Linked DNA regions of Danio rerio. The protein of the gene in region 1 interacts with the protein of each later gene in a biochemical or structural test. Links are inferred from orthologs where the notes say so. Each region holds a gene or a part of one and is shown in the gene's direction. Other genes may lie near its edges.

The links.
Region 2: the proteins of supt5h (region 1) and ccnt1 form a complex in vitro, tested with the Homo sapiens proteins (2 studies listed by BioGRID, with this or other methods). The link is inferred for Danio rerio from reciprocal best matches to the Homo sapiens genes SUPT5H and CCNT1.
Region 3: of the proteins of supt5h (region 1) and cdk7, one has a biochemical effect on the other in vitro, tested with the Homo sapiens proteins (2 studies listed by BioGRID, with this or other methods). The link is inferred for Danio rerio from reciprocal best matches to the Homo sapiens genes SUPT5H and CDK7.

The regions. Positions count from the first base shown.
Region 1 is NC_133190.1:22,862,043-22,865,703, forward strand, and holds part of supt5h (transcription elongation factor SPT5), read left to right. Parts: intron 1-638; coding exon 639-775; intron 776-937; coding exon 938-1,093; intron 1,094-1,184; coding exon 1,185-1,331; intron 1,332-2,559; coding exon 2,560-2,706; intron 2,707-2,802; coding exon 2,803-2,928; intron 2,929-3,014; coding exon 3,015-3,099; intron 3,100-3,661. UniProt on the Homo sapiens protein: Component of the DRB sensitivity-inducing factor complex (DSIF complex), which regulates mRNA processing and transcription elongation by RNA polymerase II.
Region 2 is NC_133198.1:38,766,815-38,769,590, forward strand, and holds the end of ccnt1 (cyclin-T1), read left to right. Parts: coding exon 1-665; 3' UTR 666-2,167; downstream 2,168-2,776. UniProt on the Homo sapiens protein: Regulatory subunit of the cyclin-dependent kinase pair (CDK9/cyclin-T1) complex, also called positive transcription elongation factor B (P-TEFb), which facilitates the transition from abortive to productive elongation by phosphorylating the CTD (C-terminal domain) of the large subunit of RNA polymerase II (RNA Pol II).
Region 3 is NC_133180.1:56,109,885-56,113,545, reverse strand, and holds part of cdk7 (cyclin-dependent kinase 7), read left to right. Parts: intron 1-650; coding exon 651-800; intron 801-900; coding exon 901-1,045; exon of another isoform or gene 1,046-1,515; intron 1,516-1,563; exon of another isoform or gene 1,564-1,624; intron 1,625-2,850; exon of another isoform or gene 2,851-3,661. UniProt on the Homo sapiens protein: Serine/threonine kinase involved in cell cycle control and in RNA polymerase II-mediated RNA transcription. Cyclin-dependent kinases (CDKs) are activated by the binding to a cyclin and mediate the progression through the cell cycle.

The DNA.
Region 1 (3,661 bases):
ACATTTATACCCTAGAAACAACACCCACACAGAATGTTTAATGCTACATTCAAGTCATATAAATATTTATGTGTTGAAAGTACATGAATGATGGTGTGTCTGTGAGAATACATGTCCAGTGCAATGGATGCAGTGTCTGTTTTGACAGTAAATTATAATGTAGTTGGTCTTTTACACTACAACCCTATATGTGGCATCTATAAAATTGTGTACAGTAATGATTGCAAATATAAACGTTAAATTTTTAATATCAAATCACCACAACAGTTCTTCCTATTTTTAACACTCTTTATTTCTTCTATTTGTAACTCCCGCAATAACAGACAGGGGTCTTTATATACCCTCAAAAAGCCCACACTAGCACACACATTCTCCTTACACATGCGCAGGTCATAAAACATAACAAATAACATCACCTTAAATATTTTATAAACATAAAAAGGAACATTTTGTATTTTTAGTAAAACTACTAAGACATTTTTTAGAGAAGGTACTTTACTGCTTGAAAACATCAGATGTCACAATTAACTCATAAATACAATCTTCCCAGGATTATTTGAAATTTGAACACCATCCAACTATTTATTGAGCAATCTTTGTGAATTAAACAGCTATCTTTCTTTTTTTTTTTTTGGCAGGTAAGGAGCGAGAACACAATCTCCAGGCGGGAGATAATGTGGAGGTGTGTGAAGGGGAGTTGATCAACCTTCAGGGCAAAATCTTGAGTGTGGATGGCAACAAAATCACCATCATGCCCAAGCACGAGGACCTCAAGGTGAAGAAATCGGCACAAGCTGCAGTGTGAATGAAAAGTCAATCATGTTCACCTGATCCTATTAACCTACCGTGAAATGTGTTTAAACATCCTGAAAATCTCATTCTGCATAATGAATCCTTTTTACACTGATTATCTACTTACTGTCCTGACTTCTTTTAGGATCCTCTTGAGTTTCCAGCTCATGAGTTGCGGAAGTATTTTCGTATGGGTGACCATGTGAAGGTCATCGCGGGGCGTTATGAAGGGGATACAGGCCTCATAGTTCGCGTGGAGGAGAACTTTGTCATTCTGTTCTCTGATCTCACCATGCACGAGGTAGGTTTCACTATTAAACTATGGAAAACCACATACAGAAAAAACAACATTGTTTTTTTTTTTTGTCTGAAATGTTGTGCTTCTGTTGCAGTTGAAAGTTTTGCCCCGGGACCTGCAGCTGTGCTCTGAGACGGCTTCAGGTGTGGATGCTGGAGGCCAGCATGAGTGGGGGGAGCTGGTACAGTTAGACCCTCAAACTGTAGGTGTCATTGTCAGGCTGGAGAGAGAGACCTTTCAGGTAAACGCCCCGTGAAAGTGACCTGTTTAAAAGTACATCTAATAGTATGCACTTGCTGGGTGTCTTTTTTTTTTTTTTTTTTTACTACAATATCACTTTTTTTTCCCTCTATAGTCCTTTTAAGGTTAGTCAGGTTACTTTGAGCCTGCCCTAGAAGTGCCCCAGGGCTGTATTTTAGTCACATTGTCGCTTTGTATTGTTTTATACAATTTGTATTGCGGGTACATGTCAAATCTTCAAATCCATCTGTGAACAATATCATGAATAAGGGCTTGACAAACAAAGGTCTGTTGTATGAAGTTTCAACATGAACTAATGATTTTAGAGTTCAACCCATTCTGTTTGCCTTCAAGAATAATTTCTGCCTCCAATACCTATTTTTTATATTTTGATAAATAACTAAATACAGTGTACAAAATCACTGCTGTTTTGTTGTGTATATTCACCTACATTTATTTGATCCGAAAAACAGTCATGTAAAATATTAAACAATTTAAAGTATATATTTTATTATTTGTTAATAGAATTTAATCCTTCTTAGGACTGCTGAAAAGTCATGTTTGGTTACAGCACTTATTGAAAATCTGGTAGCTCTTTACAATGAGGTTACATTTAGTTAAAAAAGCATTTTTCTCAGGCTACTATGTGTAAGTTGGGTAATTTTTTATGTCAATTAATGTTATTTTTATTGCCTTTAATGTGAAATTAATGAACACAAATATAGGAGTCATTTGTTCATTTGAAAGAACGTTTCTGTTGGCACTTAGAGGTTTTTGCATCTGAACCCTTCATATACAACAGATTACAGTATTTATTTATTCTTTGTTTATGTTAAGAAAAATAAAGTTGTTAGCTGTTAGTTCCTTAACTTAATGCAATAACTAAAAAATTATCTTAACAAGCAAAACTTGGGATTATAATAATGTATTAATAATTATTGAACTATAATTAAGATAGGCTGTATATGTGTTATTCATTCTTAACTTAATAAAACTATCCAGTTTATACTGATCTCAGACTTTTGAATATTAATGTATTTAAATAAGCAGAATAAACTATAAAAACATTCAGTATAGACTACAAACTTTTTATTTAAATTTTTTTTAAACAATAAAAAAAAGTTGTTCATGTCATTGATTGAAACATAGGACTTTTTTACTGCAGTTTTCAGTTGGTTGATATTTTCTACTAACTCAGATTTTTTTCCCCCCACAATGACTTGTTTTAGGTTCTGAACATGCATGGGAAAGTTTTAACAGTACGGCACCAGGCAGTGAACAGGCGGAAGGACAACCGGTTTGCTGTTGCTCTCGACTCTGAGCAAAACAACATCCATGTTAAGGATATTGTGAAAGTCATTGATGGACCTCATTCGGTAATTAATTGGATCCTGCGTCTGACAGTTATTGCAAAACAAAACTGCATTGGGTTAACATTAAGTTTCCTCTGTGTGATTTTTCTTTTTTTTTAGGGCCGTGAAGGTGAAATTCGCCACATCTTCAGAGGCTTTGCTTTTCTTCACTGCAAGAAGCTGGTTGAAAACGGAGGCATGTTTGTTTGTAAAGCACGTCACCTTGTACTGGCAGGTGGCTCTAAGGTATGTCTGTCTTGTTATAACGTTGGACCTAAATGCTTTTCATAACTTTCATTAAGTCATTAAACAGTCCTCCTCTGTTTTCAAAGCCCAGAGATGTGACCAATTTTACAGTGGGTGGCTTTGCTCCCATGAGCCCACGCATCAGCAGCCCAATGCACCCTGGAGGAGGTGGTAAGAGTCTTTATGTAATTAAGAGTTGTGAAACAGTGTTGGAAGATCTGGCTTTGGGGAAGATTAAGTCCTGCAGAAGTATTTTAAGTATTTAAACACACAAATAAATGATAACTATTACTGATGTTTTATTTTTCCCTTAACGATTCCTTTAGATATTGTCCAAATTAAGTTCTTAGCAATGCATGTTAAAAAATAGAAATTAGGTTTTGGTTTGCTTACAGTCAGAAATTTGCTAAATGGAATGTACTGCTTACTTGTACAATATATTGCTGTCTGTTCTTACAAATATACCTGTGCAATTTAAGATTTGAATTTTGAGGTCTAGGGTCAGATATTATGTAGATTTGTATTAAAGGAGTAATGGCATTCAATCATTGTTGTGCTATTACACTACAGCATTTTTATTTCTTTTGAAAGTTTTTAGGCTACTGTTTTTCATGTGATTATCATAGAAACTGGTTACTTTTTCACATGGTAATAAGATAATATATAAATAGTTTTAGCTGTAAGTTTGATCATCTGAATTAGTGATGCACCGATATGGATTTTTTGGGCCAAT
Region 2 (2,776 bases), on another chromosome or scaffold:
AAGTGCGCATTCGGGTTCCAGACAGGCGAGGCGGATCTGGAGAAGACGGGAAAAGTCGCGAAAAACACAGAGAGCGATCCAACCACCACCACCATCATCACCACCACCACCACCACTCTTCCTCCTCCAGCGCCGGTTCCCTCTCAGCATCGTCTTCCTCATCCTCAGCACAAAAACACTCAGCCGGCTCTTCAGGAAGTAGCAAAAAGCTCTCAGGTGATTCAGTGCGGACGAGCTCTTCATCAATGTCGCGAAAACGAACCCACATGCCAGACCCTTCCTCCTCCAGCACCCACTCGTCCTCAAAAGTCAGCAAATCGTCCAGAAACTCATTTCAGTTGCCCACGCTCCCTGGAGTGCCGTCTCATGTGATGCCCGACATCCTTCCCTCGCTGCACCATCAGGGAAACTATTCGCACTCCAAGACGGACAAAGCGGATACAAACGGTCACAACGCGGCCGGACAGTCGAACGAGTACCAGGACACGTTTGACATGTTGAACTCGCTGCTCAGTGCGCAGGGCGTCCAGCCGGCACAACCTCAGATATTTGACTACCGCTCTCAGTACGGAGAGTTTCGCTATAGCAGTGGCGCTCGCGGAGGAGCACAGCCGCCACCTTTACCCTCAGAACCACCTCCACCTCTGCCCCCATTGCCCAAATAAAGCGCCCCTCGCATCATCCGTCCACACACGCTGATCAAATCAGTGCTTTCGGGAGTCCTGTGTGCATCTAACTTTAGTGTGATGTCGCGTTTGACAGCAGAGTAATGTAAGGCAAAAAAAGCCCTAATGTTGTCTTGCGTCTTTGTGTGTGTGTGCGTGCGCAAGCGAGTACGTTCACAACACCCCATCTGTGGCAATAATGTTAAAGTAGAACAAAATATTGCAAAAAAAAAAGGCAAAAATGTTATTTATTGAAACGAGAAAAAAAATAATTGTACATACTACTATTTTTTGATGTCGTTCACTTTTATATCCGCGCTAACAGAAAAGCATAATGGAATTAAGGGTAATGTATTACTGAATGAGAGGGACTCGCGGTCCTCTTTAAAAAAAAAAAAGTGTAACCTTGAATGCAAAAATGGAAAATGTTCGCTAACAATATATATGTGTCTTTTTTATGGAGTATGGTATTTATTATTAGCCTTTTAAATCCATAGTTATTAGCAGTCGTTGCTTGAATGCGTCTCCAGACGAGATCTGGATTTATTTTTATACTGTTGTAAGTAAACCTGCTTCCCAGTCTGTATTTACTTGATGTGTGTCATGAGAAATGGACACGCACACAAACACAAATCACCAATATTCGCATCATAATGTGTTCCTAAATTCACGAATAGTTTCATTTTTGTTTTGTTTGGTAAATATTTTTGCTTTCAACTTCTATTAATGGTGAAAATTGACGACTATTTAAAAGAAAAAAACCTAAAAAAAAAAAAAAAATTAAGCAAGTCGTTTTTTGGAAGGTATGTTCACTAGACTTACAGTTCTAGCCTCCGAGGCAGATGCAGTCATTGTTTTAAATGGTTGTAGAATATCACACTCATTTATAATACACTATACACAGCAGTATGTTGTACACTCTACATCCTTTTATTTATTTCAGTTCAGTTTTTTCATGTATAGACAGTTTTATCCTAATGTAACTGACCTATAAATGGCCCTCAGACTTAAATGAATCTGTGATGGACAGAAATGATTGAAAGTACAAGAAGTGTGACGAATATTGGTTTATTTACAAATCACATCCATTCTTTCTGTATTTATGAATGATTCATATTGAACTTGATACTTTAGTTCAGCGTACCTATATTTTATAGCATAGGTCTTAAACTTGATGCCTGGAGGGCCACAGCTCCAGTTTTGCTCCAACACTAATCAAACACAGCTGATCCAAATAATCGAGGTGTTCAAAAGAGTCATGGACACCTTGATTAGTTGGATTAAGTGTTTGATCAGGGTTGGAGCAAAACTGCTCAGCTGTAGCTCTCCTGCCATCGAATGTGAGACCTTTGTTTTATGGGGATACTTCATCCGACAATTAATATTGTCATCATTTAGTTAAAAGTTTTAATCATTAGGCTTTGATGGTTATTGGATCCCAGCATTCTTCAGAAATCTGTTTTGGATGAAATATCGTCTTAAATATAATGTCTGAAATGGTCTTTTAGGTTCATGTTTGTTATATGCCTGCATTTAAACCCTCAACTTGACACTTGTAGAGCCATTAGGGAGCATGCTGACCAGTCATGTTTGTTAGTCTGGTTTCACCCTTTTATTTCTGTTTTTGTTTGTTTTCTAAACACAAACCCAAATGCTATCTCATCTGTGTCTATTTTTGGCATTTTATAATGTAACTGACTTGTAAATGGCCTTTCAGACCCCGTAGATGGACAAAAATGTAATCTGATGAAACGTGTTTCCACCAGTCTTTAGTGGAACTGGTGTGTTTTGTCAGTGATTTATTTATTTGTTTTTTGATTAACGCAGAATAACACGACAGTAAAACATATTTTGTACCTATGAGGGTCTTAAACTAAATTCCTGGAGGGCCAGAATTTTTTTTGCTCCGACCCATTTCAAACAGCTGATACAAATAATCAAGGTGTTCAAGAGTAGTCTTAAACACTTTGATTAATTGGCTCAACTGTGTTTGATAGGGTTGGAGCAAAACGGTGCAGAGATGCGGCCCTCCAGGAATTGAGTTTGAGACCAAAGTTTTACAGGGATTATTCACCCAAAAAAATTAATATTACCAGCCGAAACATTAATCA
Region 3 (3,661 bases), on another chromosome or scaffold:
CCCATTGAACCACACAAGAGGTCAAAAGGAGATGCTGTACTTAATCGACCGTGTAGTACAATGATGTACTGTATCTGCTCCAGTACACTATAGACGTTGTAACACACATGCACGCTGTTGTTTCTAGAAATGAGAGATGTTTGTGTTTATTAAATTGCCCGTTACTTTGCAACATCCACACCTAATCCACCCCTAAATCTACCCCTCACATAGCATTTGTACAATGTTAATTATGTAATGTATCTGATTTACCAGTATTGTCCTCTAAGATTGTCCTTTGCAACGAAGACATCTTGAAGCCTTGGCTCATTGCTTGGTGTTGTACTATTATATGCAACAAAAATTGGCAACACAGAGTGACTATTGCTAAATGAATAAATTTAATCATATACAAAATGAATATTTTAGAAAACTGTTGAAAATGATTGTGAAAAATATCTTTACTGCCATTTTTGACATCCTGCATGGTTCAATGGGATCTTGATCATTTTAAGTTATGCCCCTGCTACAATTTATTCTTCTTGTTACGCCTCTTTCTTGCAGTCTGCTGACTGGGACCACTGTTTTTTTTTTTTTTGTTTTTTTTTTTTGGCTTACCAAAATCTAAATTTCTATATGAAGTCATTAATTTATTGTGATTGTGGTTTTAGGGGATGTCGAGTCTCCCAGACTATGTGTCATTTAAGCCATTTCCTGGCACTCCACTGGAGCACATCTTCAGTGCTGCCGGCGATGACCTGCTGGAGCTTCTGAGGGGGTTATTCACCTATAACCCCTGCTCACGCACCACAGCTATGCAGGTAACTTTGACCAGCCGCAGTTAACTAACTTCTAATTCCACCTTTAAAAACTAATCTGCTTTTGAATGAGCATCTGAGTGAATAAATATTCTCATTCCAGGCTTTGAAAATGAAGTATTTCAGCAATAGACCAGGACCAACCCCAGGCCCTCAACTACCCAGACCAAACTCCTCAACAGAAGCCCTGAAAGAGAAAGAAAACCTGCTGATAGGAATCAAGAGGAAACGTGACAGTATTGAACAGGGTAAAGAAACACTTTATAAATAAGAGAATATATGATGATAAAATATGATAATTAGTTTTAGCAGTGTTGTTTATGTTATATAGTATTCCAAGTCAAGTTATTTTAATTATCTTTAGACAATACATATTGTTTCATAAACAGTTCCACAGGAAAAACAGCAAAATAACAGAATCAATAAAGCAAACTACCATTATGAGGTCCCTTTTACCCCAGGTATTGAAGCATTTCATTCACTGAAGTATGAAAAATCCCCTGAGACCTTCGTTCACCATCAGAAGATAAATGAAAATGTTTTAGGGTTCATAGACCACAACACTCCAGAGATGTTCAAAATCCAGAAAAGGATACAAAAACATTCCATGAGACTTGAAGTGTTAAACTGAAATAATGCAAAGCTACATGAACATTTTTGGGGGGCAAAAAAATTATATAAAAATATGATCCTGATAACATATAGATGAAATTTAAAAGTGTTGTACATTTAACGGGGTATCTGCACACAGATTTTTAAAATTTAGTCCGCCAGCTGCAGGGCTTCCGGTTAATTGTCATCCCTTGCAAAATCACAGCGTTTAAAGGGTCACGAAACACTACAACACATTTTTTGAGCTGTTAACGGTCGTATATGTGTCCCACACTGCTAAAAACACTATTAGGACACATATATTTCACTAAAAAGTGTAAATTGGTTGTTTTTGCGTTATTTCAAGCAAATTCGTACTTCCGGTTTGAAAGGAATTATTGAAGCTGCGTTACGGTCATGACATAATAGCGTTGTATTCCAGCGTGCAGACTGGACATCTGTGCCAGAGTGTGTCTTATTACGTCTTACAGTGTGATGCATTAATGCATGAGTAAGGCTTGGTTCAAACCAATAAGCGCGCTCTATTGTGCAACTTCATTAATATTCATTACTGTCACAGTGTTTAGACGACAGAGACGCCACGTTGTGTGGGCAAACAAGCGTGAAGTGTAGCTTTTAAAGTTTGCTGCAGTTAAGTTTCGTTTTCATTTTCTCTCTGTGAGAGCTCAGACTCATGTGTGGATTACAGTGTAGGCGACGCTCGACAACAATAACTTGCGTGTCTAAGGAGGAACATTGTTTACCTGAGAGCTGTTCTCATCTGCAAACGCTGAGATCCGGATTCGCTTGTAGTATTCTCTTCATAAAGACGCGGCTCTATTTGCTGGTGATTGTCCTGTCTCTACAGATTTGGTAAGTGAGCGACCAGCGCTCTTTGTTTATTCAGTTTGTTCGTATCGAACAAACTATTGCACAGAGTGTAAACATGTTAGCACTACAACCAAACTTTAACCGCGTGTAGGGTTTTCACCGCATTACACACGCGGCTTTCTGACGCTACCTGCCATGTGCATCTAAGTTTCCGGGAAATGCAGAGGTTTTTTTTCTCTCATTCGCCGTGCGGTATCAAACATTGCACGAAAAATACATGCTTAGAGCAGTTCCTCGAATCAAATATCTCGTTTGTCTCGAGGGGCATGAATGAATTCCCTGAATGAAAGAGCCAAACTGCAGTTAAAGTCCACCATTTAATAATTTGGCAAATAATTCGACTACAGATGTCCATGTAGGTTACACACTATCACTTTCTCCTGTATGTATGTGTGAGTATTTTGACTCTGAAACTCGCGCGTGCCCAAATAGACACTCCCACACCATCCCACTTTTCTTCCTCCAACACTCCCCCCTAAACAGAGCTGGACACGCCCACTTTTCTGACTTTTTCCAAAGTAGAGGTGTGAAAACACCCTGCTGAAACGAGGGGGTTTCATGGCCCTTTAAGATGTAATTTCATTAAAAAGCAGCGATCTTCACTGCCTGGCTGAGATAGGATATTAAGTGGGTATCAGACCAAACAGGAAGCACTGCATTAAATCATATTTTTCTACACCATGTCATTAAAATATGGAAATTAATTTTACCCCAGTATTTTCAATGGAATTTCTGTGCTAGCCTGCTGCCAATGACAGCACCTGTGTTTAAACAGCCATTTGTCTCTTTATACACTTTAACAACCACATGGATGCTAAAGTCTATTTAACTGATTAGATTCATTCATTTTCTTTTCGGCTGAGTTCCTTTATTAATCTGGGGTCGCCACAGCAGAATGAACCGCCAACTTATCCATTACATGTTTTCACGCAGCGGATGCCCTTACAGCTGCAACCCATCTCTGAGAAACATCCATACACATTCATTTACACTCATACACTATGGATAATTTAGCCTTCCCAATTCACTTGTACCGCATGTCTTTGGATTGTGGGGGAAACCCGAAGGAAACCCACGCAAACACGGAAAGAACATGCAAACTCCACACAGCAACGCCAACTGACCCAGCCGAGGCTTAAACCAGTGACCTTCTTGCTGTGAGGCGCCTAACTGATTATATTTGAATTATATTACAACATCCATGCTGTAAAAGGAACCTTAAAAATTTGAAAATAGCCGCATAAAGCTCTAACCAGAAGTTTGTTATTGGTTGAATAACACTAACTGTGCATATACCCTATTTTGTATCACACAATGTTTTTTTTTTTTTTTTTTTGTATTTCTAATGAAATCCAAATGCAGTTGGCCACTTTTTTATTTTA